Linked DNA regions of Mytilus edulis. The protein of the gene in region 1 purifies or fractionates together with the protein of each later gene. This does not show direct contact. Links are inferred from orthologs where the notes say so. Each region holds a gene or a part of one and is shown on either strand. Other genes may lie near its edges. The genes, in order: protein lingerer-like and ras GTPase-activating protein-binding protein 2-like.

Region 1 (16,118 bases):
ACAACATATTTATGGCTCTCTCTGTATCGTTGCCACAATCTTGTAAAGCTATTTCTACTTCGTTTTGATCTGTAATACCTGTTACATCGATCACCTGTAAAATGGAGAACACATATCAAAATCCACACTTTCACATCAAAAAAGTTGTGATCAGTTCACCACCAGATGAAAATTATTACTTTATTATGGTTCCTTTATAAATCACACAGCATGTTATAAAACAAGACCAATCAATGGGGCAACCTATCATATCAGAAAACTACTAAGTTTAATCTAAAAGATGCAAATTTATGTAAACAAGACTTTTTTCCATCTATCTTTTGCTTTGAGTGGAATAAACTGACCTTTGAACTTTTATCAAAGATTGATAGATATTTTTGAGGATATTATACAAATAAAGATAGGAAAAAAGAATTCAAATTTGGGTTACAAAGATTATAAGAAGTGATAACCTTTCAAATGTAGACATTATTGTCAGACTCGAAATCTTTAACTAATATTAATCCAACATATCGGTACAAGATTTTCTCATTATTGATAGCCTTACAGCTGTCTTTAATATCTTACATCCACTTCATTTGAATATTGCTGGATAGTTATCATACCAAATCTCCTTTCTTTTAATATCAATCATTTTTATTTTCTTGTCCCTTTGCAATATTCTGAAAGTACTTGTCATATATTCTTTAAAAAGACAACTTTTTGAAACTATGGTTAACAAATGATATAAAACATACCTGTTTCACCTTCTGTCTGAATGCCGATTCATCTAATGAATTTGCATCATTTGTCAACTGTGCCAACCTTATCTGTTCTGGAGTAGCCTAAATTTTTATCAAAATATAAGCATTATCAAAAAATGTTGTGTACAATGCAAAGTTTAATGATAAAGGACTAAAAGAACTAAATCATAAGTTTTTAAGACTGTTTTAGAGGTAACGAATTAAAACTTGAGCATTTATGAAACCAAATCTTTCGACGTTCTAACAAATGTCATTATATTTCACTGTAAGAACTATATTTTTTTGTTCTGACAATGTACTACAATACAAATTCTACAATAAATGCATTTTTTCATTTGACCCTTATCCTTATCTAGGGTAACACTTGCCTGTACTTTCTGAGGAGGTCCTTCTGATTTTGTTTGTGTCTGTGGGGTGGATTTTCCATGTTTTTCTTTCATGGGTCTTGTGTTCCCACGCGATGAAGCCACCGCAGCACTCATCCTGTACACTTATTTACACAACACTATATACAAATTTAGATACTGAAAAGAAATAAATATAAATAAAAGATGGGATGCTTTCTGTAAAGAACCAAACCCTGAAAATGTTAACATATACATGTATGTTGTATGAAACATAAGAATAAACAGTGTTCCAGCTTGAATCTCAGGGCAGAAGGGTGCTACTTGTCTGAAAGGGCACTTTAGCGCAATAACCCAAATTGTAAGGGCACTGTTTGGCAGTGTATTAATAACCTTGAATATATGTATTATATATTGCTAGGCTCAGCTGCAGAACATTACTTGTATTTTAACCTTATTCAGAAATTAATGTGTTCCAAGTGTTGGTTCCAGTAAGATTTTTTTATTATCAAATTATCATACCATGACACAAAGCATATCATTTTAATTGATGTAAATTTATGCAAACTGTGCATTTTGATCAGGAAAAAAATCCTTAGAAAAATCTTTTTTTTTATTTTATAATTTATATAACTTAATTATACAAGTCTATAAAAATAAACAAGTAGTTCTGAAAGATGGAGCTAAACAAAATTGAATTTGTTATGTAATTAAATTATTTACATTAAAACTACTTGTTTAGACATATAGTATTTGTGTTATTGAAAGTTACCTAACTTGTAAATTGTTACAAAAAAGTATTAAGAAGTGCACACCAAAGTGCTCCTAAGTAGGGAGTTTTATAAATATAACAGGTGATACAAGAGATGATTATATTATAATGATGCAATAATACATTGCATATATTACAGAAGGTATAAACTCCATTATGGTTAAAAAATAAAAGCATTTGTTAAGTGCTCCTATGTAAGGAGGATTATAATACAAGAAATAAAACAGGAAGTGGTGCAATCTTGTTATGTTCAAATACAAATTTCTTTGGTTATTCTTTTAATTTCATACTCATGGTTATAAAAACAAAACGTTTTTACCAATCTACCAATTTACTCAAAACTTAATCTGCCTTTTAAATTGTTTTAAATTTTCTTTAAAAATATTTTTTTTTATGTGTACATATGCTATGATACGTAAACATTACAAATGGCTAACATGTCAGCATTTTCATTCTGTATTAAATATCTAGTATTTGTTCAATTATCTTAAATCCACTAATTAGCAGTGAACAATCATTAGCAGAGGTGATAAAACTGCCAAAGGCATTAGGTATTTAACTTAATCCTATTGTCAGTTAATTAGTGTTACACAATCACTCAGGTAACAATTTTACCGGAAACGCCAGAAGGCATGAAATTTGTAAAATGTATCTTTTGAAAAGGCAGAGGGGGGCATTCTTTGGCTTTGGAGGGCAGAAGGGCGGGGGTAAGGGCACCAAGGGCGGGGCGCCCTTCTATTTAGGGCAGGCGGGAACACTGATAAAGATAGACCTTTATTAACTAACCTATATGGCTTATAATTGTGATACAAAAAATGTAATTGTCCCATAGAAAAACTTGGAAAATTCCTAAAATTGGACAAATGTAATATCTTGAAAAATTTCTTCTGCCCTATGATGACAAGACTTCAATCTAAACTAAAAAAAAAATTTGGGACCACTTTATGAAGATTTTTTTTTTTTGGTGGTTTTCCATAATAGGAAGGTTGTGCTCATAGGACGTTAATATAATTCACTAATGCAAAACTATAATATTCAGAATTCTTATAAATACAGTAAATCATGGTACATAATCTTAAACAACACATATTTGTGAGACAGAATTTACTCAAAATTGTTTAAAATCTGCATTTCAGGTCTTAGCAGAAACAAACTTTTCCATAACTATATCATCATGTGATGTGTTTTCGTACTAATAACAATTTTCAATGTTGCGTTTTTATTCAGGTGTTTACTCAAATTTGAAAAGCATGTCCTATCAAATGATTTTAGGTATCTAGTTTTTTGTCGAGGCTTCTACGATTTTTAACCATTTCCGATTACTTTGCGATATTTGTATGTAAAAAAAATGGCGTCATATATTTTCGCATGTATTAAAAATTGGATCAGTTCACGGGCAGGAAATGAATTTATAGTCATGGTTCTGGTGATCGCTTGAATGATAATAAAGGTTATTCAATACTTTTCAGTACTAGAAATAAATAGTAAAGGACATTATTTTTTTTGGAAAACAAAATGCAGTTTTTAAAATTTAGGGTTTAAATGTAAAAAGTTAAGACTGTTTTCATCTCTGTGTATAAAGGATCTATGAAAAGAATTGTCAATAAAATATTGAATAAATGGATTTTGAACAGCCATTTTATATAAGAACCATGATAATTTTCACGCACTCGTTTGTACTAGAAATGACCAAAAAACCACACGACAGTCACATGTCTTGAAGATCCCATGTCGAGCAGGCAGACAATATAGCTATACTTCAGTTAACTCCTCAGAATATTGCTCAACAACTATTATAGTGAGGCATATTTTGGGCATTAAATAAAAATGGCTAATCTGGTCAGTTTTATTAAATTTGTTTGAGCGTCTTTAAAAACGACTTTGAATATGTTTTAAAGATGTCAAGTTGTAGTGTTGTTGTTGTTCCAAATATAGAAACTGAAAAACCGCAACAATATACTGGTGTGAAATCAAAACAGATGAAATATGGATGATACAAAAACATATGACATTGAAAACATATGACACGACGGTATAGATACAATGTATAGGAAGATGTGGTATGAGTGCCAATGAGACAACTCTCCATCCAAATAACAATTAACAATATGTCCATATTCACACTGAAATCCTGATAAATATGCATTAATGCTAGTGATGATGACCTATCGTTATTCATGGTTGGTCATACATGTTCTCAACCGAAGTACTATACTGAAAGATCTATCATAACACATGTTACTGGCACTACCAACATAAGACTCAAAAAGGATCTACAGAAGGATACAGCATTAGGCTTACTGCATCAAGTGTCTCACACAGGGAAGTTGGCATATGATTGGACAACCTTACGATTGATGTGAATCATACATTTTTTGTGATACATGAAACCAAAGTAAGATAACAAATAAAAGAAGGACTATATACATGTAGCTAGGACATACATTTTGTACCTGCCGGCCTAACTTGGAAACCATACATTGGATCTGGCTTCAAATCCAACTTGATCAATGTTTTATAGAACGTAGCATTGTGTATAAGTTTTACAACATTTGGTTGAGGCAAAACAAAGTAAGAGAGAGAAAAAACAATTTCGAATAATTGCACCGACGTAAATGGGTATACAGCCTAAAGAACTTGTTGCCATTTGGCAGGGGCATAATAAGAAAAATACCATTAAGAAAAATGGACATCATAAAAAAATAATAAAACGTTTTAAAGTTCACAGACGGTTGGACGAACAAATGTCATTCAGTGATGACAAATAGGTTAGGCTAAGAAAACTCGATTAATTAAATAGAAATATATGTCGTTATATTAACTCTTTTTAAACATAGAATGCTGAAAATCGTAAATATTTTTTTTGTGTTTAGCATGCCGATGTGCATGCATGTGAGTGTTGGCGTATATGGAGCTACACGCCTGTCTTCAATGATTTTTTGGGGCTAAATTGGGTCTCAAAGTTGAGCAAAATTCCCTCTCATAACTAACCAAAAGAGATGGCTTGAGCTTTGTGATGATGCTGTAAGACGTCAATGCAAAAAGTATAATAGCCTTTCAAGATGTCATAATTATTTGAATTTGATGGCGACTATAGTTGTACAAGTACAACCATTAACAATATTTTAATATTATGATTATTCAACTTATCAGAATGTAACATTTTAATTATGAAATAGTTTTGTTTGTATTGTTATAAGATAAAATGTTTTTGTTTGTTTGTCGTGTTTATTAGGGTGAAATACATACATATACATAATAAATTATCTGTAAACAATTTAAGATTGACAGATAAAAACCGGACGCTACTTTACAGAATACAGCATGATTTTCAGACAAACAATTAAATTGTTAATGACCATGATAGCTTTAAAACACAGCAACTACCATGTATGTAAATGATGCATTGTTCAGAGTGAAATGGTAATCTGGGAATTCCAAATAAATGAGGCATTTAACAAAATAATATATATATCCAAAAGTTAGACACAAATTAAAGTCAACAGTTAATAAATGCTTTATCTTTGACATCTTATGTATCTTAATTTCACATTCAACAGTTTCATATGCAACAAGTCTTTAACCCTAAGTCTCTGAATAGATCGTCTGGTCGCGTACAAATATTCAGTTCGTGTTGACATCCGAAACGGGAAGTATTTTCAATGTCATTTAAATCAAAATTCATATATATTTTCAATAAGCATAACAGAATCTGAAGGGGCAATTCTCATTCACTGATCCAGAGATTTCATGTTCGGTAAATAAATGAATTACCAGTAGATTTGATTAGTAACCAAAGAGGAAACCATGTGACGCCATGCTGGATTTCCTTCGTCATTCGCACACGCAAAATAAATTAGACAATGAAAAATCGAACAAATGTCATTCTGTAGAATAAAAGACTTAGCGATACAATGTCATGGGAATTGATATTTGTTCTTAGTTGTCAAAGAAACGAATAAAGGGTCAGTTTTTATCGGGAGCCCCAATTTTACCTGGAAATGGTCTCACAATATCATTTGATCACGTGACTTAAATAGAATTCGCGCCGCCATATATAAAATTTCCGTGCATACGTCATCTAGGGATTCCCCGCTCTGTATTACATTATATGTTGAGATTTTTGTCACATAATCATTGTATATGATCAAAACACTCTTTTGAAAGCCGATTAAATACATTTTGTAGATGTCAACGCTTTCAAAATGTAAGCGAACACGGAATTCCCAATTATTTCCGGTCAGTCGTACGGAAACGAACGAACATTCTCGATTAAGGGCACATAACTCCGGAGCAAGTGCGAGCATGTTTTTTCTTAAACTGGACCCCTGTTGTGTTCACTTATCGCTACACTGACAACAGGTATGGCCTAAATCCCGTGGTCAGAATTCTGGCTACGGGATTTTATTTCTTAGCGAGACTAGTGCATCATGGGATTTGTTTATTACACATCCGGGGTTCTCCAAGCAGATGACAGTAAATTTCCATGTCACATATGACAACCCCAAGGAAATCACTTAAACGAATATGTGTAGTTTGCAAAACACAAAACGTAGCTGATAAAAACTGGAGACTTATTAATTCTGAAGCCGGAAAACAGAAAAATGTGTCAGCTTTACTAAAGAAATACGGTGATATTGATGTGATAGAAGGCTTTATCTGTCGGAATTGTGAAAGAAGATTGGTGAGTTTAGACAAGTCTAACATTGAATTTAGGAAACAGTGTAATCTAAATATTCATTTGTTAAGTGGGAAAAGATGTATTAAGGAGCAAGAGAACGATGAAAACTTACCAACTGCAAAACGGGGTTCATGTATTCAGTTATTTGAAGCAGTCGCCGTGACAACTCCATTCAAAGAAAGAAACTTTCAGAATGAATTAATTTTTCTGGTATATCACCTATTTTTTCTTCAACACCACTTTTGAAGCAAAAATATGAACCTATTACACCAAAGGAACAGAATAAGACTGTTGATGATGGATACAGCTCTTTCAAGTCACAATGCACAGTTAGTTTTAGAACTCCCATTCAAACACCTGCGCAAACCTCAAGTGACAGTTGTGAAAATATTGACCATAGTTATTGCAAACAGCAAAAACACCAACAATCACCAAAGAAGAAAGCTGCAAAGAAATTGTTTGATGTACCAAAAGTACTGGAGACCGTAGTGAAAAGTATGAAAGGTCCAGAATCAGATCTTTTGACCAATTCAGAGTGTGCGTTAATTCAATCTTCACTGCCTCTTCGTTCCAGGAAAGAACTTGCAAAATCGATTCTTGACATACCGGCATTGAAAAAGACAGTAAAGGATTTGTTGTTTGCTGAACTGTCACAGGACAATGTTGTTTTGCGTTCAAGAAAGCATGGAAAAATCAGTCAGCTAATGCAGAAAGATTACAAACATCTACAATCATTTAGTTGGGAAGTAATTGTACAAGAATTAACAGAGGAGCTTCCGCTATTAGCAGAAATACTTCTTGCAGTCATCTTACCAAATAGTTTAAGTGAGGCCAAAAGAAATGAAAGACTGGCTTCGGTTTTACCAAGAATAGGCACGGTATGTTGTGATTTATATACACCTTAACTTAAGCTTAAGGACTTTATTCAACCTACAAATATACATGTACATGTATGAGGTACACAAATAAATGAGACGATATGCTAGTTGAAACTAAACAATTTAAATAAAATGTTTCAAAAAGCTGAATATTTTTTTTAAATTAAAAAAGGTACATTGTAGTGTGCTCAATCACAACCCTAACTCAGTAACTGTATAGAAAAATGAATATAGATAAGGGAATATAAAAGATTATAAATAAAAGAACCAAACAAAAAAAATAAGAAAATTTATTTTCTTTTTCCTTAGGCATTTAATTATAAGATGTTTTTGTCTATTTGAATATTACAGGATTATTTGGATTTCTTTACCATTATCAACATGTGTATATAATTTTCAATCTATTTTTCAAATTTATTATGACCAAATTTTACAAGTATTATGTACATGTATATTGATGATAATGTCTCAGCATGAGACAATAAATCATTTTGATCTTGAAATCATGTCCAGATGGCTTCTTTTAAGTTTTTATCATCAGTAAGATTTTAAGAGACATATAATTATCATGTTGACTTTAATTTAATTATCATTGTATTGAACATTATCTGCACTTTATTTATCTATCTGTTAAGCATGAGTTTAATCAGTATTTGTTACATGACACTTACATAACAATATAAAGCTGAAATAATCATAATAAGGTACAATACTACACTTACATAGTCATAACAGACAAATGAATTAAAAGTGTGTTTTTGATTAAATCTTATAACTTGCATGTATATTAAAATATATATTGCAATATTTGCAATTCAACAACTATGCATATATATATATAGATTAGATAGATGTACATTTTGTTTACAAACACATTTTATACACAATAAATTATATGTCTTTTTAAACACTTTAAACCTTATAGTACTGAAAACCAGGATTTTTTTTTATTGTACATTAAGGGAGCTACCATTTGATTTTTATGGGGGGGCTAGGATGAAAAATTGTGTCCTGCATTTTTTTTTAGTTGTAATCTCTGTCCTGCCTTTTTATTTTTCACTCTATTCGGTCCTGCCTTTTTTTTTATTAGTTTATCCTGACTTTTTTTACCTAAATTGTCATCCTGCCTTTTTTTTTTGCAAAGTGTCTCATCCTGCCTTTTTTTTTTACTCAAAACTCCTGTCCTGCCTATTTTTTTCAAATTTCATCCTAGCCCCCCCCATAAAAATCAAATGGTAGCTCCCTAATCTAAAACAAAACATGCTATAAACAGCTACAAGTGACATTAAAGTTGAAATGGTGGTACTGGTAGTACAAAAAAATGTAAGCTTCCTCTGCCAAGTATTTAGTCAGAACAATGATATAAATATATTTCTAAAGGAAAAATACCTAGATGTTAAACTTTGTTTCACTGGTAATGATTTTACAAAAAAAGTGAACTTAAGCTTATTATTATAAAAAACAACCTAATACATTTACAAACCTTCAAAATGCAATTTATTTTTCTTGATAAACAATAGAGGTTTATTATTCTTGCAGGTTTATGCTATAGTGGCCCAAACTAGAAATGCAGAGCTAAGTAGAGTGCAAAGGTGTATCAGTATGCTACTGTTTGATTCCATATGTGATCAAAAGGTAAATCATTATAAATATATAAATTGTTACATCATTATTTGTGTCTACATTAGACTCATCAGTGACGCTCAGATCAAAGTTGAAAAGCATATGAGGACCCAAAATTCCAAAAGATTGTGCCAAATACGGCTTCGGTAATCTATGCCTTGGAGAAGAAAATCCTTAGTATTTTGAAAAATTGTACTTAGGGACGACATCAAAAGATCAATGTAGGATAAAAAACTTAATTCACATAGTTTTTTCACTGACCCCCCCCCTACTTCTTAACTTAATTTGATTTACCAATAAGGATCGATATATGTAAAAATCGATTTTAAATATACAAAACTTGCAGAGTTTTACAACCCCCCCCCCCCCCAAAACTATTTGATTTAAGTTTTTTATCCTACATCGATCTTTTGATGTCGTCCCTTATAAAATGCATACATGTACATGTATCTTCATGCCACATGCAGGTAAATTATATGCCAGAGGTAGGCTAAGTTTAATAATTAAATCAATTAAATTTTGTCGTTTGGTAATGGTCTCAATGAAGTACAACTCCAGATCTTTTAATTATTGATTAGATTATACTGTGTAAAAATCACTATTTTGACCAAATGTACCTATTTGTAACTCGAAACTTTTATTCATGTTTACAAGTGTTTAAAATAAAAATACCCTTAGTGAATCTACATGAATCTATATATATATGTTTGATGCATAGACACTTTATATCTGTTGACTTTATTTACATACAGATGAACCTGAAATAATGTTAAAAAAAATATAAACTAGTGTACCATTTTAAAATTTATTATTATTTTTTCCCCAAATTTAATCATATTTACACGCAGTAATTGTTACAGCATTTTATATATAATTCAACCTCAAGGTGGAATGCATGAATTTAAAAGATAGGTTTATATAAGTACTTAATGTAGCTGACTCAAGGTTATGTTCATGTATATATTTCAGGTATTTGATAGGTTACAGCCATTAGGACTTTGCTTAAGTTATTGTCATTCCCTCAGCATAATGGACATCTTTGGTGGTAACTTCAACACCTCAGTCATTGATGCCATTAAGCAAGGTAAAAGAATTCGCTTAGTTGGAGACAATATAAATTGGAAAACGGGTGTTCATGACGAAAGAAGAGATAGACATGAACACATGAACCATGCCTTTGGCTCAGCAGTCATTATTCAAAACACTGATTTCAGCCATTTGAGTAACATTTCACCACAACGACCATACACCCAGTTAAATTTCCAGGATTTTTTGCTTTCAACAGATGAATGGGACGGTGTACGGTTTGATTATGCCATACTAATAAGTAGAGTTGTTGCAAGGCATATTCCATCACTGGCTTTTGTGAAGGATCATCTCCCAAAGTTCATTAAAGGTCCGTATTCTGAACAGCTAAGAGCACCAAATAAAGTAGTTCCACTGCCAGTATTACATTGTAATGAACAAAAATATGATGATGTTGTACAAATAATGGACTTCTACGAAAAATTTGTGGATGATACCTACAAAGCAGCAGGTGTCCAGAAGCCAAAAGTACATACTGGTGGGGATCAGCTAACAAGGTAAGCAATTGTTTACGACATTTTATAAATTTTGGATGGTTTTTGTTTAGACAGTAAAGACTGGTTGACTCAAAATAAGTCTGAAAAATTTGGAGATTTTAAAAAAGATTTAGTGTGATTGCCAATGAGACAATTAATAGCTTAAGGTCGCTGTACCGTTCAACAATGACCAAAGCCCATACTTCATACATTGTAGTCGGCTAAAAAAATAAAATAAATGACAAATGTATACTAATTCAAATTAGAAAAGTAAAGGCCTAATTAATGCACAAAAAATGTAAGCTAGCATCTCAAACAACTCAACAAATCTGTCTTATAGAACAATTGGTAAAGGTCAGGGCCTGGTATTCACGTATTCCCGGCTATATTGTATTGTGTTTTTTTCATTGTTGAAGGTCATATGCTTGCATGAAATTGCTTACATTGTTAACATTTGAACTTTGATGGCCATGTATATATTCATTGATAATTGTCAAATCCCAAATATGTTATGGTTTTCAAATATTAAATCAACCATCAGCAAATAATAATAATAAAAATAAGAGTTCTCATGTTATTACTAGTTGTGATTCTCTTTGTTATAAGCATTCATTCATCCTAAATATTATCTGACTTTTTTCATTGGATATTAAATAGTCATTATTTTGATGTTTGTTTGATATACCTGAAGAACATTGAACGTACCCATTTACATAAATTGTGAATGAAAAGCAACATGTCAATTTTTTAATTTACTTGCAGGGAGCGCTTTTCAGGTGGAAAAAGACTGAGAGCAGGGGGAGTAACAAAGGAAGAGAGATTTGAGCATCTTTCGCCCATTACATTTGAATTGTTTCACATGATGATGAACTACGTCACACTCATGTTCAAACAATTGTACAGAAATGATAGTGAAAAAGATTTGGGGACAATGAAGTGTGAGCAGAATAGAATACTTAGAACAAAAGTCAATGAGAATGTTAACGAATATTATGATGCTGACAAAGACTTTGTAACCTCGTTTGTTGATGCCTATATAGTTGAAGCAGTTCTGGACTATTTTGGTATGGATAATGCTTCATCTGTTCCAAAGAAAAATATGCCACCACCATTTAGCAACTCAGCCGAGGCATCAGATTGGGTAAAGAAACATCTTATCTCAATAGTGGATTTATATGTGGGCCGTACTTCTGCAGTCTCAGAGACAAATAGCTTGGAAGGTAATAAATTTTATACAAACTTACTTAAAACCATTTAATTTGGATTTTGAAGCATTTTATTCCTTATTAAGCTTTATAAAAATATATTCTGATCCAACTAGGTCAGTAGGATACTCAGGGGAAAATAAAAAATCCCAATTTGACTAAAACAATTTGGTCAAGTTTTCTAAATTGAATTGTTTCTTATTTTGAAAATTTTATTTGGTAGCCTATTACATGTAAAGTATGAGTTTTTCTCATGGTTGAAGTTGTACAGTTGCCTGTAATTGCTTACATCCATTTCATTTGAACTTTGGTGGATAGTTGTCTAATTGGCAATTATATTGTATTATATACCATTGGTTTTCTCGTTTGAATGGTTTTAAACTAGTAATTTGGGGACGCTTTATAGTTTGTTGTTCGATGTGAGCCAAGGCTTCATGTTGAAGGCCGTACTTTAACCTATAATGGTTTACTTTTTTTTAAATTGTTATTTGGATGGAGAGTTGTCTCATTGGCACTCACACCACATCTTCCTATATCTATATTACCACAAACATGTACAAAATGTACATTGTTCTCCTTTTAATATATATGTATAATATATATACAAGTATTAAAAATAATATTAATTTGAAATCAGAATTTTATTTACTAAGTCTTTACTTTTTTATAGTTATTCATCATTTATATTGTCAGTTTTTTTGTTTGCTCATTTGTCTCAAGTTATTTATGGTTTTAAACCCTGTCCAGACGCTCATGACACTTGTGTTTCTCTTTTCAAAGCCAATATAAATAATAAATGTTTAATCTTGTACTGTGCATTTTACATTTTATGGTTACTACTTCTAATTCAGATCTTTACTTTTCAGTGGATGGATTTGTGATGACTGTTCCCTTAGCAAATGGAGCCACAAAAACAATAACATTAAAAAAGGTAAAAAAAGTCGTCAAAGAAGATGATGTTAAGAACTATGGGCATCTAGTCCTTGAACTTGGACTTTTATTCAAATCATTGTTAGATTTATGTAAGACTCCTAGTAGAGAAAGAGGCCTAAGACTTTTGAAGTTGGCAATGGTCCATTTTAAGGCCAACAACTGGTTGTCTAAATATGCATATGAGATCATGAGGTTCTTGGTTCACCAGAAATCCATTTTGTCTGAGAAAGAGGCCCATGAGGAGTTCTATGGATTGTTTGTAAACACCAAGGGTGGATTAGACCGCCATATACCGTGTGATCTACGGATGGAATTTTTGGTAAAGCAAATCAAGAAAAACATCAAGCACATGTTTTCAAATAAGACAGATAAAAATATAAGTGTAAGAACAAGTGCTTTACCAGCTTTAAATGACATTGCAGAAAACTTTGATAAATGTACTAATGTTTTGGTCCGTGCAAAAAAACACAGTGATGCAGATTCAAAAAAAGATGAAACAGACATAATAAATGACTTGAGACAACTAAGTCCTTTCCAGTTCCAAGCAGGAAGAATTCATGAAGCCTTTCCCAAAGTTGCCAACACCATTTCAAAACAGCTGAACTCTAACTTGTACCATCATTGGATATTAAACCAGAAAGTTAAATTTGCAACTGAGATAGGAGTATGAAGTGTTAAAGTGTACCTGTACATGTACTCAGTGAACAAATTCAGCTATTATATTTATTAATTTACCCTTTAAAATTATGGCTTTTATCTATATACATGTACACATAATATATATATTAATGCAATAAGCATGAATTAAAACACATTCATTGATTATTAAAGACATATTTGTATGAAGAACTGTATGTATTAAGGCCGAATAAAATAATTTGTGTGTTCCTTATTAAATCTTTGAAAAAGGGGGGGGGGGGGGGGGTCCCAACCCAGGACATGCAGGACAAAGGGGGGATTTCAACTATTTGTCCCCATTCAAATTCATTGATTGTCCCAAAAAAAAGGTGGGTTTCAACCACTGGGTAGGAAGGTATTTGATTTTATTTTACAATTTTTTACATTGAGTCAATTGGAGAGAAATTCTGACTTTTAACTGTACTAGAGCTTATTTAAAAATGACAAAAAAACTTTAAGGTAAATATAGACAATATCTAAGCTTTAGATATAGGGTAGGAAGGGAGATAGGAAACACAAATATTTTTTTATTTGGCCTAATGTACATGATTATCTTTTGTTCGTTTAGTGCATTGTTATATTATGTATACATTAATTTTGTTATGGTCATATTTTTACAAAACAAAATATGTGCCCGTCCTAAGTCACAAACCTAGTCATTGTTTGAATTTTAATATACTAGTACATGTATATATATATATATACATATACTGCTGTTACATAGAAATATTTTTTAATTGATATTTAATTACCTTTTTTTGTTTAAGACAAAATCTTTCAATGTTTTGTAAAAATTAGCTTCCATACATATTTGTGATGTTGGATTACTGTCTCAATTATGCATGCCCCACATCACTTGTACATTTACCTTACACATGTACATGTATGTGTTTCTGTATTTACATGTATTTGCCATAATTTGGAATGGGAACAATTTGGAAATTTGGAAATTAGTATGGACTTCATTATCACTGAACTACAATGTAGTATATATATTTTTTTAGGGGCCAGCTGAAGGACGCCTTCAGGTGCGGGAATTTCTTGTTACATTGAAGACCTGTTGGTGACCTTCTGCTGTTGTTTTTTTCTATGGTCAGGTTGTTGTCTCTTACATTCCCCATTTCCATTCTCCATTTAATGTCAGTATGTTAAGTGATATTGCTAGTTAAGCTATCCATTATAAAATAATTACTACCTTTATTTATAGTTTACCTATATATAGCTATCTACATTTTATGTCCCGCACATCATGCACATTGTATGTGTGTATTCTTAAGAATAATTATCCTTTTGTCATGTTCATTTTGGCCATAATTAAGATTAAGAAAATTCAGATTTTAACTGTACAAATTTTTTATGTACAAAATATAATTTGATATTTTGGCAGAAATAATCATATCGCATTAAATAACATAAATTTTAACAAGCAAAGGACTGACTTACTTCAAACATAATTCACTGACAATTAAAACAATGTTTTCAACAACATGAGGCGACAAAGTTGTATGCCTACATAAAATCTGTTCCTTATCAGAATAAAGTATGTGTTCTTGACATATTTCCTTCGCAAATGAATCAGAAAGTCCAGTTATCAACTCGGAATTAGGCATAGCTATAATTTCATTTTCAGCATTGAAATATTCCAGCAATACCATCTCCAACTGTTCTTTTATGCTTGGAGAAAGCTTGTTTTTGTTAATGTTGCTTAGGTCCGTTTCATCACATGCTAATATTAATTTGTCAGTACAGTCTTCACATTTGCAAAGTTTTTGGCAATTGTCACAACACTCGTGTTTGAATTCAAAAACAGACATCCCACAAGGAGATCCAAAATGCTGGCATAAGAAGTCTCTTCTGCAAGTTTCCAATGTGCAGAAATTTTTCATTTCATCTGTCATCCCTTTTATAGAACTTGAAATGTCAGTCATGTTATAAAATAGAGTTGCATTTGCTGACAAGCCATCTCTACCTGCTCTTCCTATTTCCTGTACGTATGCTGAAAATGAAGAAAATACTGATTGTTAATGTACAAAAATGTACATGTTTTTATTATTTTATTTTGTGCCAAAAAAATCACAACAATTATTGCTACAACATATAAAAATGTTCATTGTAGTCCAGATTGCTCTTGTGTACAACTGTGTTCTACAGACTTGCTACATGTATACACATGTAGCCATGATAGCTAGTAAGATGTACATTTGTACATGCTAGTTTAGTTAATTGAGTGCTCAACATTTTTAATTACCAAACTTTTGTACTTGAAATATTGTTTTACATTAGTCATGTCTCATGAGATAGTGCTTAAATGATTTAGAAATACAGTGTACCGGTAATTGTATGTTTGAACATGTTGAATGCTGAAACATTTAACAATGCTTTTAAATTGTGCTAAAGATGCAAATACGAATGGACCTCTCTTCATAACATGTCTAAATGCAAACTTATTTATATAAAGGTACTGGAAATTATATTAAATAGTGATTTTTCATGAATGTTTGACTTTGTCCATACTACACTGTTGCATGACTGTTGTAAAATTGATGTAAATTGTAATTTAAATATGATTAGTCTTTTTCAAAATGGAAAGGCAATATCAGCTCATGTTATATTTATAAATAATAATTATTTCTTAAAAGTTGTTTGTTATTTATGTACATATATATGTAATACTAATATTAATGCAAACATCAAAATAA
Region 2 (16,379 bases), on another chromosome or scaffold:
AACATTTTTGAGATGAAACAAATTATTTATGACCTAAAGCTAAGGTAATTGGTGTTAATAAACAATGTATTTGACACCAAAGCTGACAAGTGAAGCCATGCACTTAATGAGTCACTTAATTGGACAGTTTACACAGCTAGGTGAACTTTCTGTTCATGAATGTATTACAAATTTTCCGGTTTTTCAAAGGCAGAAATGCCAAGGTTTTCGTCATAAAAACGGCAGGGCGCCAGAGAAACAATAGAAAAAAGGCAAGGGCGTCAACAAAAAAGGGCCCTGTTAATACTTTCTAGCTAGAACACTGTTTGTTCACAATTCTATATAATATTGGAGCAGATTGAATGCAGGCATGCAGTACTTGATTGTTAATTTCAAACAATAATATTGTTAAATGGTTATACACACACTTTGTTAATGGTAGCACCTGCCTCATAAGGGGATCAGCATACAAAGGCTAATAATGTTGATTTGTGAAAAAAATTAATTCTATTGACAATTTACTGTATGTTATACAAAAACTCTTCAAATACTCAAATAGATCCAACAAATCATTGTCCACGCAACATCAGTTTAACATCAATAATCATACAGATATAACTTACAGCTTGTCCCATGACAGGTGGTTGTTCTTCTCCTGGTTTTTCAACACCTCCATGAACAAAACTAGAATTGTGACTGTAGAATCTGTAATAATTCAAAAATAAGTAAATGAAGTAAAATTCTTGGAATTTAAATAAAATAACAATTTTCTGAAACATACAATGCATATAAACTGTTAAGCCAGAGATATATTTTGCCTATTTTAATAGTGCAAATGTTGAAATTAAAATAGTAATACTTCAACATGTATGCCATGATAAAATATTCAAGTCAATAAACCATGACTAAAGGTACATCACTAAACAATCTCCATTGAAATGAGGTGTGCGAATGCTAATACAACTGCAAACCAAACACCATTGACTGATCATAAGTTGCTCCCTTTAAACAAACCGTTACACAAACATTAACTGGTAAGTTCTGTAAAAATGTCAAATTCAATGAGCCAAGATGAGGGGTTGGGGCTGTATAATCTCCATGGAAATGAGACTTGTAAATCAAATTGTGAAATTTCGTTGAATTATCAATAGACTTTTAGTGGTTCATCTTAAACTGAGCTATCACAAACTAATCAAAAGTTTTAAAGTCAATAGACATATGACTGATGGGAAAGGACCAGCTATTTGAAGTGAGATGTACTGATGCTTACACAACTGCATACCATTATCATTGGTCTTCCACTTATGATTACCCTTAAATTGACCTAGCAAGTAAAACTGCCAGCAACTGCTCACTGATGAAACCCTCGCCGAAAAAATGTCGGTAAACAAGAAGTTGTCAAGGTGATAAATCTCAAAATCCATCATGGTAGAGCTGACTTATATATAAACCCTGAAACCAAATTTCAGAACTCCTAGTAAAGTTGTTCCTGAGAAATATGTGACAAAAATTTCAACTTGGCTACATTGTACTATCATGTGTAAAATGATACTAGTGTTCGGTAAACAGGAAGTTGATAAGAGATGAATCTGTAATGAGATAAGTAGTTCCTGAGAAAAATATGACGAATATATTCATGGGACTGACGGACTGACAGATGGATGGACAGACAAGAGGTAAAACAGTATACCTCATTTTTTTAAAGTGGGGTTATAATAACAAACTAAAACATGTAAACCAAGCAAAAGTTTCAGTTATTAGACCATGACTGAGGGGATGGGGCCAAAAATCTCTATGGAAATGAGATGTGCTTATGCTAATACAACTCATACCACACATCATTGACCTACAATTTCTTAGTGGTTCACTATTAACTAAACCTAATCACAAACAAATACATTGATCATGCGACCACCAGAAAAAAACATACATTGTATCTATGTCTTGCTATGTGACTCTGTCAAGACAAGAGTGAAGACAATACCTAGTGTTTCCTACAGGTGGTTTTGGCGTGTAATGGCGCCCTGCCGCGATTTCTCGACGCCCTGCCCTTTTTGGGGAAAAAATTTGGCGCCCTGCCCTAGTTTTGTCGAAATTCCTGACGCCATGCCTTTACGGTACTGAAAGACATATTTTATGAATACCGCTCGAGTTATTTCCCTTCAAACGTAAACAAAAGTTCACTAGGACGCCATTTTGTAATCGATTTCGTAATCAGCTGATTAGCAAACTGCAATAGACTGAATAGTGAATACAGATACTAATCACGCGTCCTGATTGTATCCCCCAAGTCCCAGAAACACCGTTTTGCCTAGAAGATTAATGATATGACATTGTTTTGACAAGACTAAACCGGAAAACGATTTCAAAACATCGATTGCTTAGATCAATATTTTTGACAGCTGATAGATTTCTAATTTACATAATATACATTGTTTGCATGGTTGAACAAGCCAATGAACGGCGATCATGAGACATTTGTCAAAGTGAAAAGTAAAAATTCATTGCAAACTATTTTTAAATACAAATGCTTGACTGTACCTTAAATGAAATGAATAAAAATCCAAACTAAATTATTAAAAGCAGAATAATCCAGAAAATAAATGAATTCCTTGATGAAATGTTGTCTTTTGTTTACAAACATGTCACATGATCATTTTAGGCGGGAAAAATACTTGGGGAAAACACCTAAGTAACAGACAACTATTTCTGGCTATTTATAGACATTTAAAATAAACAGCTGATATGGTAGTGCCATGAAAGTAATAAACTTGGTGTATCTATATTAATTTAATTTGGAAAAGGGTGTAGAGGGGAAGGGGTTAATTTGTAAAGTTATTTTTTTTTGTAATTTACTAAATTTTGGTTACTAAAAATGACCAGACAAATTCTTTAAGTTAATCATTTTAAATAGTCCATTCATATTTAAAAAAAAAAAAAACCTATCACCCTGATCTTTTTTTATGGAACTCTGGCTTTGGCAAACCAACATTTTTTTTCAATGTGGTCCCACATCAAGAATATGATAGACCCAGAAAGAAGTCTGTTACATGTATATATTTTGAACAATAACTATTAAGAGGTCATTAAACTAGTATTTTTTAAATGAATCCATTTTATAGAAATTGCCTGTTTATGTTAAGTAAGTGCCCTAAAGTTATTGTCTATCGCGCTTAATGTGCCCTCTGAGCTAACAATTACCCTGCCCTTTTTAAAAGCTGCAGGAAACACTAATACCAGTTATAAATCTGGGTCAAGCCATGCCTTGAACCTTTCCAGGTGTACTGTTTGTCTGATCTCTTTGAAGAAATTTGGTGATCATGACCATACTTGTAAATTCCTTTTGATCAGCCTAAGTCAACTGATAATGATCCAACCTTGACAACTGCAGTGTATTAACATGCTCAGAATGTCTGCTTTGTTTGCATATTAATAAAAATCAAGTGATTTGTCAGACACAACTAAGTTTTCAAAGACTGGTTATTTCTTTTGAGAATTGACATCTGAAATGATGTAGAACCTGAAAAAATTACATGCCATTTTTTTTACAAATGGATCAAAACAATCTTTCGTATGGCATGGTAGAAATTTGTTCACCAACGGAAATTTGTCTGTAATCCTCTTTTCTTGGTGACAGGTCATATGCATTTTCATTGGAATTGATGTTGTTTTTTTTTATTAAGGACATTGTGGTCTACAAAAGCCGAATTGTTAGATCTGCACTTGGATATTTACCTGTGAAGATGCAGTGGGGCCTCGTTTAGCAAGGTATAGTATTGCCTAACGAATTCACGGCCAACGCACTGTGGACTTGGGGTTTCCATAACCATGACTTTGTATTATTAAGTAATCTGAAAAATACAATTTATAAAATTAAGAGAATTTTTTCATTATTTCAGGTCTTTTTCATTTTAATTATCTGACATAACCTTACACAATTTACCTACTGCAGCTTAAAATTACTACATGTACAATAATATTTAGAAAATGTTATCAAAGAATAAATTTTAAATGTTGCTGTACTTCTATAACTTTAATGTGTCAAATATTTGTGTTCTTTCTATGAACTTGAACTGTGAACAGGTGAATCATGGGCTCACTTAGGAGTCAAGGAGGTTTTAATACCAGGACAACTGGTGAAGTCTTTTTGGTTATTTTTGTTGTTGGCATGATGATATGTTTTGTTAATGAATACCCCTACATTTGTTCATTCATCCTTGTAATCTCTAAATACAATAATGTAATCCTGTTCTGTCCACTACTCTCCCATCATGGTGACAATACTGTTTGTTCTATCAGTTTTCACTCAAAATATTTATGGAGAAAAATTAAATGCTGGCACACAAAACTTATCAGAGCAATCATAGAAAAAAAAATCTATGCTACATGTATAAGAAATAAAATTGATATAAATTTAAATAAAAAATTTCATTTATACAGCACAAGAACAGACCATTTCAATTATTTTATAATACGAGTCATGTCTGTTTAAAGATGGGAACAAACCCCATGTTTGGTGATTATACAAAGAATAATAACCTGTTGTAGGAAATTAAGCACAAACAGAGGAATATATTAAATAAAAACAGACACTTTTTTAAAAGTTGCGAACATGAAGGCAGAATAAGAAGCACATGATTAAACCATATTTAAATTAAAAAAATCATAATTGGTTATGCCTGTTGAACCCAGTGAATTCATCATTAGTTTACAAGACATCACTGAACAATATGCCACTTCCTCGAATGTCTTTCTACCAGAAAAGATCATCAATTTCTTAAGCCTTTATGATGTCATTTGCCAGATAGAACTTAGAAGGCACAATTGTATCCCTGCCTAATTAAAAGTTCAAGCACTTTCGGAATCGCCATTCTGCAGGGTAGTCTGTTAATAATTGATGTTCTGTAAGTACAGGATTTTCATTTCCGTACAACTTTGGGAAGGTGACCAACTTGTTAAATTTCGAAAATATTTTGTGCAGTATAAATTATAACTATAAGATCAACATTTATTTGCCTCATCCCTCGATATATGTTGGAAGTGACAATCCCTACATTTCGGTTACTAACTTATCCCGGAACAAACGCTTTTTTTCCTTATATTTTCTGTTATTGACATCAGAATGTTCTAGAAAATGCACCAAATTATGTGAAAGTAAACTATCCAACAAAATAAAAGTTACTAAATCTGAAAATTAATTTCAAGATTAACTTTTAACAAAACAAGAGAAGACTTTATTAATCAATTTCAGTCAGTATGAAAATATTCTTTAGATATAATGATATACCTTTACTAAAATAGTTTCATGGCAACACTACAAAATAATTTGTTTCATGGCAATAAACCTCAAAATTCTGTACAAGAATTTCTCCAAATCTGACAATAAAGTGTTTCATAAGTTATGTCAAAGGATCAAGGATAATTTTCACAAAAAGGTTAAACATTCAAACGCTTACAAAATGTATATCAGAAAGTGAAAATAATCACGGAAGCCATGTCTGAACACACGAGGAAAAATACCGGTTCATAATTTCACTGTAAAATATCAATTTTTTGATGTAAACTTACCTCACGAATGGTGAATTTTTGGTGATATGTGAATAAAATATTTACAAATACATTAGAATACTAAATATATGAATCTTAAAATGATAAAATATTGGATTTGACGTCCGTAAAAACTACGAAGAATTGCACATGCAGTGTGCGCAGTGAGTCCTAATTTTGTCAAAATTTGCGCACATAACGGGGACACCCTGTGTGCCAAATTGTATCCCCCAAATCGGAATTACTGTGGTCAAAATTTCAATTTCTTCAAAGAACATACAATGTTTTTGTCATTTTAAACGTAAAATTTCTTTTAAATAAGAGTAGTCCACTTCTAATAACTCAAAAACGACCACCGAAGTCTTACCTTTAACCTTCAATGAGAATGCATTTCTTTGTTTCTCTGCTAATAAGGATCGGAATGGGCACATAAAAAACAAAATCAGATTTAAAAAACGGTTTACATAGTCCTGAATCAGGATATATGATAGTAACTCTTCTGGTTTTGTTATAAGGATCAAAGAACTGTCTGGTTTTTTTAAATTTCTGCAGTTAGGTTATTTTTGTTATTTCACTTTTTGGTACCGTGACAAATATCAGAGACATATTTTGTATGTCTCTTGAAAAGATGTTTTGGAACATTTTGAATAAATTAAGTAGACAAAAAAGTAATAACAAAGAAAATGAATCTGTACCACAAGAAGATTTCATCCAGTTTTATAACAAAATTGAATAGCTGTGACATAAATCACAATAGTTTTCACTCTAAAATTATTAAAGATTTTGACTCTCTAAAAGAACAGTTTAATTTATCACATGTTACGGATGACTTAACTCACTTGAGTTCAGAGATAACAATTGAAGAGATAGTAACAGCTATTCGTTTGAAAAAAAATGGCAAAAGCATATCAGCCGACATGATTTCCAATGAAATGTTGAAAAATGCAATCCCTATTTTTTTAAATAAAACCACTTCATAAACTCTTTAATAGCATATTCGAATCTGGTCAACTTCCGAGATTATGGAATGAAAGCTTACTAGTCTTGTTCTCTTGCATAAGAAAGGGGACAAATTTGATCAGGGAACTATAGAGGTATATCTATTAGTTCCAACCTGGGTAAACTTTTTAATAAAGTTTTATATAAACCATGTAAACGTTTAGTAACATTTATGGATATCAAAAATTTAATAAGTAAAAATCAAATAGGTTTTAAAGAGAAAAGTCGTACAGCTGACCACATATTCACTCTTAAGACCATAACTGATCAATATAGACAAAAAAACTTGGAAATTTTTTGTTGCTGCCTTCATAGACTTAAAAAGGGCATTTGATACTGTATGGCGACTTAACAGTGGCGGATCCAGAACTTTTCCTAAAGGGGGGGGGGGGGCCGCTGACTGACCTAAGAGGGGGCCCGCTCCAGTCATGCTTCAATGATTCCCTATATAATCAACCAAATTTTTCCCACGAAAGGGGGGGCCCGGGCCCCCTGGATCCGCCTATGGACTAGGTTTATTTTCTAAACTCATAAAACATAATATCCCCCAAAAAATGTTTAATGTTATTTATTCAATGTATACTGATACAGTATGTAGAATAAAATTCCCTAATGGTTTCAGTCCTCCATTCCTACCAGAAAGGGATGTTAAACAAGGTGACGTATTGAGTCCCCTTCTTTTTAACTATTTTATAAATGAACTAGTAGGTAATCTTGATAACAAACATACGGATCCAGTTGCCATTGGAGATACCTCTTTGAACATTCTTTTATATGCAGATGATATTGTTTTACTATCTGAAAGCGAAGAGGGTCTACAAAAATCTCTTGATATTTTACATGAATATTGTTCGTCATGGAAACTACAAGTTAATACTGATAAATAAAAAATTATGATATTTAATTCTAATGGCAAAACATTGTTAAACCATTTTACTTATGATAATGCATATCTTGAAACGGTAACAAATTATTGTTACTTGGTTATTGTTTTAAAGTATAATGGCAATTTTTGCCTTGCTGTGAATACTCTCATGGAAAAAGCCAGGAAGGCATATTATAAGATAAAGAAAACTATAGGTCTCAACAACCCATGTAGACTTCTTGAAAAATTGTTTGATTGTTTAGTTACTCCCATTCTTACATATTGTAGTGAAATTTGGGGGATGGATTCACATTTTAAAGACTCTGATCCCTTTGAAAAACTTCATGTTAAATTTATCAAAGACATATTAGGGGTTCACTGTAAGGCATCTAATGATGGATGTCGAGCCGAACTTAATAGAATTCCCTTGAATAATAAAATATTATATTCAATATTCAACTACCTGAACCATATAATTTCTTCGGAAAATTCTTTGGCATATGATATATTCACTAAATCTGTAGATTCAAACCCTTGGGTCATAAAGGTCAAGAGTCTTTTGAATGGACTTGGAATGTCTTATATCACCAATAACTTTAATTATGTTAAAGGTAATTTAACTTCTATTAAACAAAGAATTAATGACCAATGTTTGCAAGTTCAAAATGCAAATATATTTGAATAAAAAAAGTTAGACTTTTTCAAGAGTGTCTACATAATGGACAGAAGACCACCCTATGTTGATATATTGAAAATCAGAAGTGACAGAGCTGCAATATGTAAGATCCGTATAAGCGCTCATATGCTGATGATTGAAAGAGGGAGACATTTAAATATTCCCAGAAATGAGAGATACTGCTCTGTATGTAACTCTGGTCAAATTGAAAATGAAAACCATTTTCTTTTACATTGTGAAAAATACTCAACTAAAAGGGCCATATTTTATCAAAAGTTTCAAATATAATCGTTGATTCTACAAAATTAAAAAAACATGAAAATAATATAATCTTTTTATTAAATAATAATTCATACACAATCCTAAAATTGACGTCCTCTTTCATTTCAGACAGTTTGAACCTGCGTAAAGCAGAACAAACTCCATAAAATTGTCAAAATGTCTAATTCATAATCATTGTTTATAATATTACATATTAATATACTCATTATTTGTAATACTTATTATGTTTGACCAACTATGTAATTGATATACCATGAGCCTTAACCATTTATTGTTGATGAGTTTGTGCTAATAAAATATTTGTATTTAATATCTGTCAAATATCAATGATTTACTCTTAGAGAGGGGACCGGGATATGACTTTTATCGGGACTACGGGATCGGGTATTTTTAAGCTCGGAATTTCGGGATTGACCCTTTCGGAATCCGGGATTATTTTTTTTTCGAATTTCGGGATGTCGGGATTAACTTGAATTATTTGAATTAGGGTCCTCGGGATTTTGTGTTTTAAACCCAGGATTTCGGGATCGGGACCCCTCCCCCCCCCCCCCCCCCCCCCCCCCCCCCATTATACATGTGCAGGACAAGAAATAAATTTTAAATTTAACTATTATTACAATATCTATAGATATTATTAAAAGGAATGATGCAAGTACAACTAATATAAACATAGATCAATTAAGTTCAGATTCCAAGCCGGTTAATTCAGATCTAATCAGGTGTAAACAAGAATGTGTCCTCAGTACACGAATGCCCCACTCGCACTATCATTTTCCATGTTCAGTGAAATTGGAGTAAAAACTCTAATTTGGCATTAAAATTAAAAAGGTCATATCATAGGGAACATGTGTACTAAGTTTGAAGTCGATTGGACTTCAACTTCATCAAAAACTACCTTGACCAAAAACTTTAACCTGAAGCGGGAAAGACGGACGAACAGACGGACGGACGGACGGACGAACGGACGCACAGACCAAAAAACATAATGCCCCTCTACTATCGTAGGTGGGGCATAAAAATCAAATGACACTCTTTTTTAGAGGAACAAATATTATGAAACCATATGATATTTTAGTTCCAGGAAAATATCTTATGAAGGTGGAATTAATATTATGTAACTTTTGTTATCCATAGTTTTGTTCCAGGGGGAACAAGTATTATGCGGAACAAATATATGTTCACAGTTTCAGATGAAACGGCAATGAGTTGATTAAAGGATGACATCAAAAGATCAATGTAAGATAAAAAAAAAATCCACTTAAATCAAATATTATGAGTGATGGGGTCAGTGAAAAAAAAATATATCATGAATTAAATAAAAGATCTAAATCACTCGGGCAAAAATAACATATATTCTCTATATATTGTTTAGTCCTCTGCTCCGTCGTATGGTACGTTATGCTCGCGCATGAAGGAGTGAGCTCCTTACGCAAACTGCTCTAACAGAGTCATTAGAAGAAAGATTAATGAAAGTACTGAAATACTGAACATCGGATGACTGCAAGTTCTTGTTGATGGTCACACTTGTCTAAAAAAAAAATCACATCTGTATACCTGAAAGTGAGGTATAATAAATTTTTTTAAAAATCTGAGACAAGTTCGTGCGTGCATTGATGATGAATAAATGACAGAGAATTCAATCTCACCGTTATAACTATTAAAGTTGTAGCGATACAAATAAGTATACTCTGGTTTGTTGTTATATATTATATTAATATTTGTATACTAGTATAACAGTAAAACATGAATATATAATTTTCATCCATTTGTATATCATTCTTTTCTACTATTCTAATGATTGTGCAGTGCAAGTGAATGGTGCCACTCTTCTGTAATAATTCTTTATTTTAAATAGATCGCGGGATTTGAGTAGGCATTCATATTTCCCCCAAAACGTTCTTGAGATATTATTCCGCATGGTTAACAAATTTTTCTGTACGTGTGCATAGATATTAATGAATTTCTACTGATATATATATTTCGAACGACAGAACATTTTCATATTATTAATTTATGTCACAGTCTAAAAGAAATATTTTTATGAGAATTCATTGAAGAATTGAATTTATAACAAGCAATAAGGAATGCTATTTTGCATTCGATAATGTCATCGCGATTTTAAAATGATTTTATGATTTTATGAGGTTCTTTGAAAAGCTGAATCCATCTATGTATTAGATTTTGGTTTTTGGTTTTTGGGCTCCTTTATCAAGTGTGCAAGTATGTTTTTGCTAATTTATTACCTTTTGAATGTTTATGCATTATTATCTTTTTAAAACTGTGTTTTTTATATGTAAATGTAGAAGCCACATGTAAAAATTTGTAATGTTAACCCTCTGAAAATAAAGAATTTATTATTAATTTTATGATAAGTAGTTCAGATATATGAGGTCGACCAAGACGAAGGGTGGGCAATTTATATTGATTGTGCAAAACGAGCGTATTTGATATGGTTTACCCTCGCAACAGGCAATCTGCGGACCCGTCTTTAAATGTTACCAATACAAAGTCGACTTCAGAACAACAGTGACCAGCATGTCTCTCCTTTCTGTCACAAACAGACACATGCATATGTATAGTTCTATCATGGTACCCAAGACCGAGATGTAGGTCTCTGATATGAGTATGGTATACGTAACTGGATTTTTTTCAAGTTGACAACTCTAGGTAATTCTGCTTGTGATCAATCTAATTAAAAACCGATCTCTCATCGCTCCCGTTTTCTGATATAATGTCGCGTGGGCCTTGAACTTTGATAGTTTTTCTTCGCTTCGAAATTGCCACCCCGTGTCAAACATAGCCAACACCCCGCATTTGGCGTTCTACACGGTGGTATTGTTACCAGGCGCGGACCTAGAATTTGATGTTAGGGGGCGCTCTTAAGAATTATGAGTTGTTGGACTATATTTTGAAGAGAAAAACATGTTTATTATTTGGTACATTTAAATGACATTTATTCGGGGAAAGAGGGAGGAGGCGCGTCTGAATTCGGGCCTGGCTATTTCCAAAAACGGAACAACAAATCAACCCTATGTTAAAAGTTACCTGATTCTTGCTAAACATTTCTTCATTTCCATAATCTGCATCATTATGTCTTCATATGCATAATCTGCATTAAACTAGAGTCGAGCATATATGCAAGTGGTAATCAGCAAACAAAGAGATAAAAGCCACTAAAGGAACTGTGAAATATCATAAGTCAACGCAAAACAGAACAACTACGGCAATCATGAATACGAAAAACCGAACAACTACGGCAATCATTTATACAAAAAAACGAACAACTACAGTAATCATTTATACAAAAAACCGAACAACTACGGCAATCATTTATACAAAAAAAAACCGAACAACTACGGCAATCATTTATACAAAATACCGAACAACTACGGCAATCATGAATACGAAAAACGACGAAAAGACAAATAACCGCTAGTTCACGAAACACTAAGGTATTTTCGATTGCACTGAATTATTTTGATGGATAATGCTTTTGAAAAGCCAGCCTCACATCAACTTTTGTTGGCATCGGAAAGTTTAAGAAAGAACAGTTTCTACGTATTTTTTACGATATATATATTTCCTACCCGTCAGGCGTGGAAAATCTAAATAAAAGGGGAAGCATATATGAACTAATTAAGAAATAACTGATGCAAGCTATATATTATATATATATACTTAATTGTAGTTTTAACATGGGAAGGCACGTAGACACAAAGCGAAAGAAGCACATCATATTAAAATGTTATTTTAACATTGTATGAATAAGAACAAAAACGTATAAATAAGTTAAAAAACAAAGTTATGATATCAAAGAACATTAAAATTAAAACAAAACAAACAAAAAATAGAAAAGGATTTCCCTAAGCGACAGTTGAATTGAACCCCATAAAAAATAATCATTATGGGGTGGTTTTGCTGCTGGTTAACAATCAGCCTCGGACCCATAATATAAGAGTATGAACAACCCATGCACAGACGCGGATCACTGGCAATGATTTTCATAATGGATGCCGGTAGTTAAAAATGTTCTTTAAAACACAAATTTCCGCGTCGAACCCCAGGATCCTAGTCCAATCCACTTACTTGTCACTCGGTGCTTCGTTTATGGTATGATTTGAATGATACAAGTAATCTCAGGTTATTTTCTCTCTATGGGAATAAAACCCATAAAATACTTCAAGTTTGATATCAAAAGGAAACGCCGGGTATATTGAATTATCTACATGGGATAAGAACCCAGAATAGGCTGCTTAAAGCTCCCAAAATATCTCAAACAAGAATGTGTCCATAGCACACGGATATCCGCACTATCATTTTCTATGTTCAGTGGACCGTGAAAATGGGATAAAACTCTAATTTGGCCTCAAAATTGAAAGATCGTATCATAGGGAACATGTGTACTAAGTTTCAAGTTGATTGGACTTCAACTTCATCATTCAAAAACTACCTCAACCACTTTTCACGTGAAGCGAGACAGACGAACGAACGAACGGATGGACGAACAGGCGAACGAACAGAGACTGAACGAACGAACAAACGAACGAACAGACGAACGAACAGACGGAAGAAGACGAACGAACGGACACACAGACCAGGAAAAATAATGCCGATACTTGGGACATACAAATATAACTGAAACCAATATATGGTTGTTCACCTTGCATTAGGAATTAAGTTAAAATCCGTAATCTTACTAAATATATGTCTATTTAACGAGAGTATTTACCTTACTAACATTATTAAAAAAAAACGCATGACTTGCGTACTACAATCGGTATTCAAAAATATACGTTTATATATTGCATCCAACCTTATGATCGCTGGGTCTGCATGCACAATGCTCAATGAAACAACTCCCAATGTCATACACGTATGTTCCTTCTGCATTTGAAAGTTTGCATGTCATGAGTAATAATACCATTCCATGAAAGAACACGAGTTTTCAGAGCACTTTGGCCATGATGTGTTATGTTACTGAATATTCAAAGGAGTAGGTTCAGTAAGACCCCTTTTGGCCCAAAAATATAGCCGTTTTAGAAAATTGTGAAAATGTAATCTTTAAGCTATATTTTGGAAAGTAAACTGCTTCTGCTACATAAATATGAGCTGTTTTTGACAAAACAATGCAAAACTATCGCGTTCTTGCATCATTAAGTCATGCTAAATTACTGAAATCTTAAATTTTTTAGCATTTTGGTTAATTTTTAGACGGTTTCCGTCTAAAATGAAAGTGGCCGCATTCGTGTTCATTCATAATATTGAAATGTTTAAGTTGTATTTGATGATAATACAAAACATATATAAAGGTTGAGGATGAACACGGATGCGGCCACTTTCATTTTTGACAAATACCATCTGAAAAGTGACGTTTTTTGGCATATTTGATAGATTTTTCAGATTTAAGCTTGAATCAGAGCGTTTTAATGACCAAATCAATTAAAATCTTTCAACAACACTATTCGAATCAATTGAAATAGACACTTAAGTTTTTAAAAAGTGTCCAAAAACTTTCGTTAGATGAACCTGAAATTTGAGGCCAAAATCGGCCCTTACCGGACCGGACCGGACCTACTCCTTTCGTGTGCAATGTTTTGGTGGCATATCGGTTGTTTGTTTGTCTTTGTCTTTGTCTTCGTTTTTTTTTAGTTTTTTTTTTATTTCAATAGCAGTGTTCCCGCGTCTATGTTCTTCCAACTAGAATGACAATTCTCACCAAAAAGAAAACTTTACTAATATGTTTTAGAACATTTAAAAAAGACGAATGAAAAAAAACCTCTTCATTTTGTGAAACAATATATAGCATAAACATCTTCCAATTTGGTCTAATCATAGTTTATTGACTTTGAATGTTCTGTATAGTTCATATGTTAACGTATTGCCAATTTTAATTTCAGCTTTTGCAATATACTACCAAATAAACATAACGGCGAGACATATATCTGTGTCAAAAGTTCAAATGCCTTTAATAACATCTGACTCAAATTATTGATAAACCTCATATCTATAATACATCGAATGTGTATATATTTTAAAGGTCATGCATGATTAAGTTCTTCGACAAATGTTTGCTTTTTGTGTACTGGAATTACATACTAACGTGTGTCCTCTGATATGTTTTTTAAAGAACTTAATGTATGACATGTATGTCTCCCATCAACAAATATAATTGTCATATATATAGTGTGGTATGCAACTGTCAAGCACATGATAGTAAGCTTGGGTCTTTGCTACAATTATATTCTGAGACAATTGCCTGTGGGTCAATACTTCTTCTTATTTGTTTGCAATGACGAAACAAAGCACTGGCTTGTACGTTTGGGGAAACTATTCTGTCATAATTATCTTTGTTACTGATTACACATATTGGTGATCAAACTGATCATCCGAAAAGGATTTCCTTACTAATTATTAAACGAATTTGATAGTTTTAAATCTTAAATACATTTGTGGAAAGGTTTTTTTCTATGTGAATCTCCAGTCAGCGGCATTGTAGTTTAATCGGCTTTCTCTTTTTATTTTGTAATTTTGGCAAATAGCGATAAGGTGTACCGTATTATATCTCCCTCGGAGCTCCTATGCAGTCTTATTTTTTTCTATATTTCTGAGAATACTATGACAATTTGACTGGTCAGTACGGGAAGTGACCAATCTCTGTGTAATAGTAGTCTCTGATTTCAGATTTCATAAGTGATCACTAGTATCTGCTCGAGTTTATCTAGAGAGAAACTTTATCTCAAATTCTCAAAATTACACTGGGTGTATACCGGCACAAAAGAAGTGTAAATTTTGCTGTATTATCGGAACTGGGGCGTTTCCCCATACATTATGATATTGTAAAGTCAATTGTTAAATACTGGTAAAAATTTGAAAATCTTCAGTCTGAATTCAGCATGTTGAAGGATGCTTATATATACAGCCAAGAGCTTCACAAATCTAACATAACTTCTTGGTTCTCATTTGTAAAGAAATTATAAGATTTTTTTAAAAATTGAAACATTTCGGACAATATATTTTTTTGAATATATCTACAGCACATTTCATCAAGTGTGTAGCCAATGTTATATCTTTGGTTAGCTTGCTTGTTAGCTGAACCGTGAAGTCATTGTTAGATCAGGTATACCACCCTCCTTTTGAAGTAGCATAGTCCAACAGACAGATATATTGGTTTTCTGTCAGACTAGTCTATTCTTAAAGTGGGGGTAGTTTACCTAACCTAACAATGACTTCACGGTTCAGCTAACAAGCAAGCTAACCAAAGATATTACCTTTAGCTACACACTCAATGAAATGCGCTGTAACAATTCAATTCACACTAAATATATTAGCAATTGGTATGTTAGCCTTGAACAAATGCTTCTGATGGAAAATTGTTAAATTAGGCCTATTTCAAATTTAAACAAAATTTGGGCTATGAGAATTATCTCTCATTTGTTAAGAACTTTGATTTAGAAGAGCTATTTGTAAATTACTTTTATCTGCTCATAAGCTTCAGATTGAATTTGGTCGTTTTTCTAACTTTCCGCGAAATGAAAGATTTTGCAAAAAAATGCTCCTCTGGCTGTGTTGAAAATGAAATCCATTTCTTAACTTCATGTGAAAACCTCTGATAGAAATGCTCTCGTTGACTTTGTTTGCCATAAAATACCTTAGAACTTTACTCAGTTTACTAAACCAACAGCAAACATTTATATATTTATTAAGCTGTGAAGACAATCAGGTTCTTAATGCTGTTGGAAAATTTATTCAAGTCAATATAAGTTAGATCAGAGACATATATATGTCTCTGGTTAGATGTATTAATTTCTCATATACATATATTTTATACTATAAACCAAAGGTTTTATTTTTTATCGTAATTGTATATATGTAAATTCTCGCTGTATCTATATCAATGTTCTTTTCCCTTTATATTTTATGTTTAATCGCAGAAAATATTGTGTATAGTATGTTCTTTTATTGTAAATTTTTTATTCATATATTTGTAAGTGAATGTTATAATAAGTTTTTAAGCAAAAGTGTCTCATATAT

Evidence for each region.
Region 2: the proteins of protein lingerer-like (region 1) and ras GTPase-activating protein-binding protein 2-like purify together in Drosophila melanogaster (affinity purification with western blotting; 3 studies listed by BioGRID, with this or other methods). This does not show direct contact. The link is inferred for Mytilus edulis from reciprocal best matches to the Drosophila melanogaster genes lig and rin.

The regions. Positions count from the first base shown.
Region 1 is NC_092347.1:61,473,358-61,489,475, forward strand, and holds the start of protein lingerer-like, read right to left. Parts: upstream 5,955-16,118; 5' UTR 5,855-5,954; intron 1,268-5,854; 5' UTR 1,226-1,267; coding exon 1,112-1,225; intron 825-1,111; coding exon 738-824; intron 95-737; coding exon 1-94. Other genes in the region: uncharacterized protein, read left to right, coding at 7,038-7,418, 8,958-9,053, 10,011-10,624, 11,366-11,823, 12,675-13,411; uncharacterized protein, read right to left, coding at 14,859-15,415. UniProt on the Drosophila melanogaster protein: Acts in the nervous system to mediate the control of copulatory organs during courtship.
Region 2 is NC_092352.1:25,707,557-25,723,935, forward strand, and holds the start of ras GTPase-activating protein-binding protein 2-like, read right to left. Parts: upstream 6,005-16,379; 5' UTR 5,894-6,004; intron 5,892-5,893; exon of another isoform or gene 5,548-5,891; intron 5,501-5,547; exon of another isoform or gene 5,436-5,500; intron 3,831-5,435; 5' UTR 3,810-3,830; coding exon 3,715-3,809; exon of another isoform or gene 3,217-3,714; intron 1,964-3,216; exon of another isoform or gene 768-1,963; coding exon of another isoform or gene 685-767; coding exon 603-684; intron 1-602.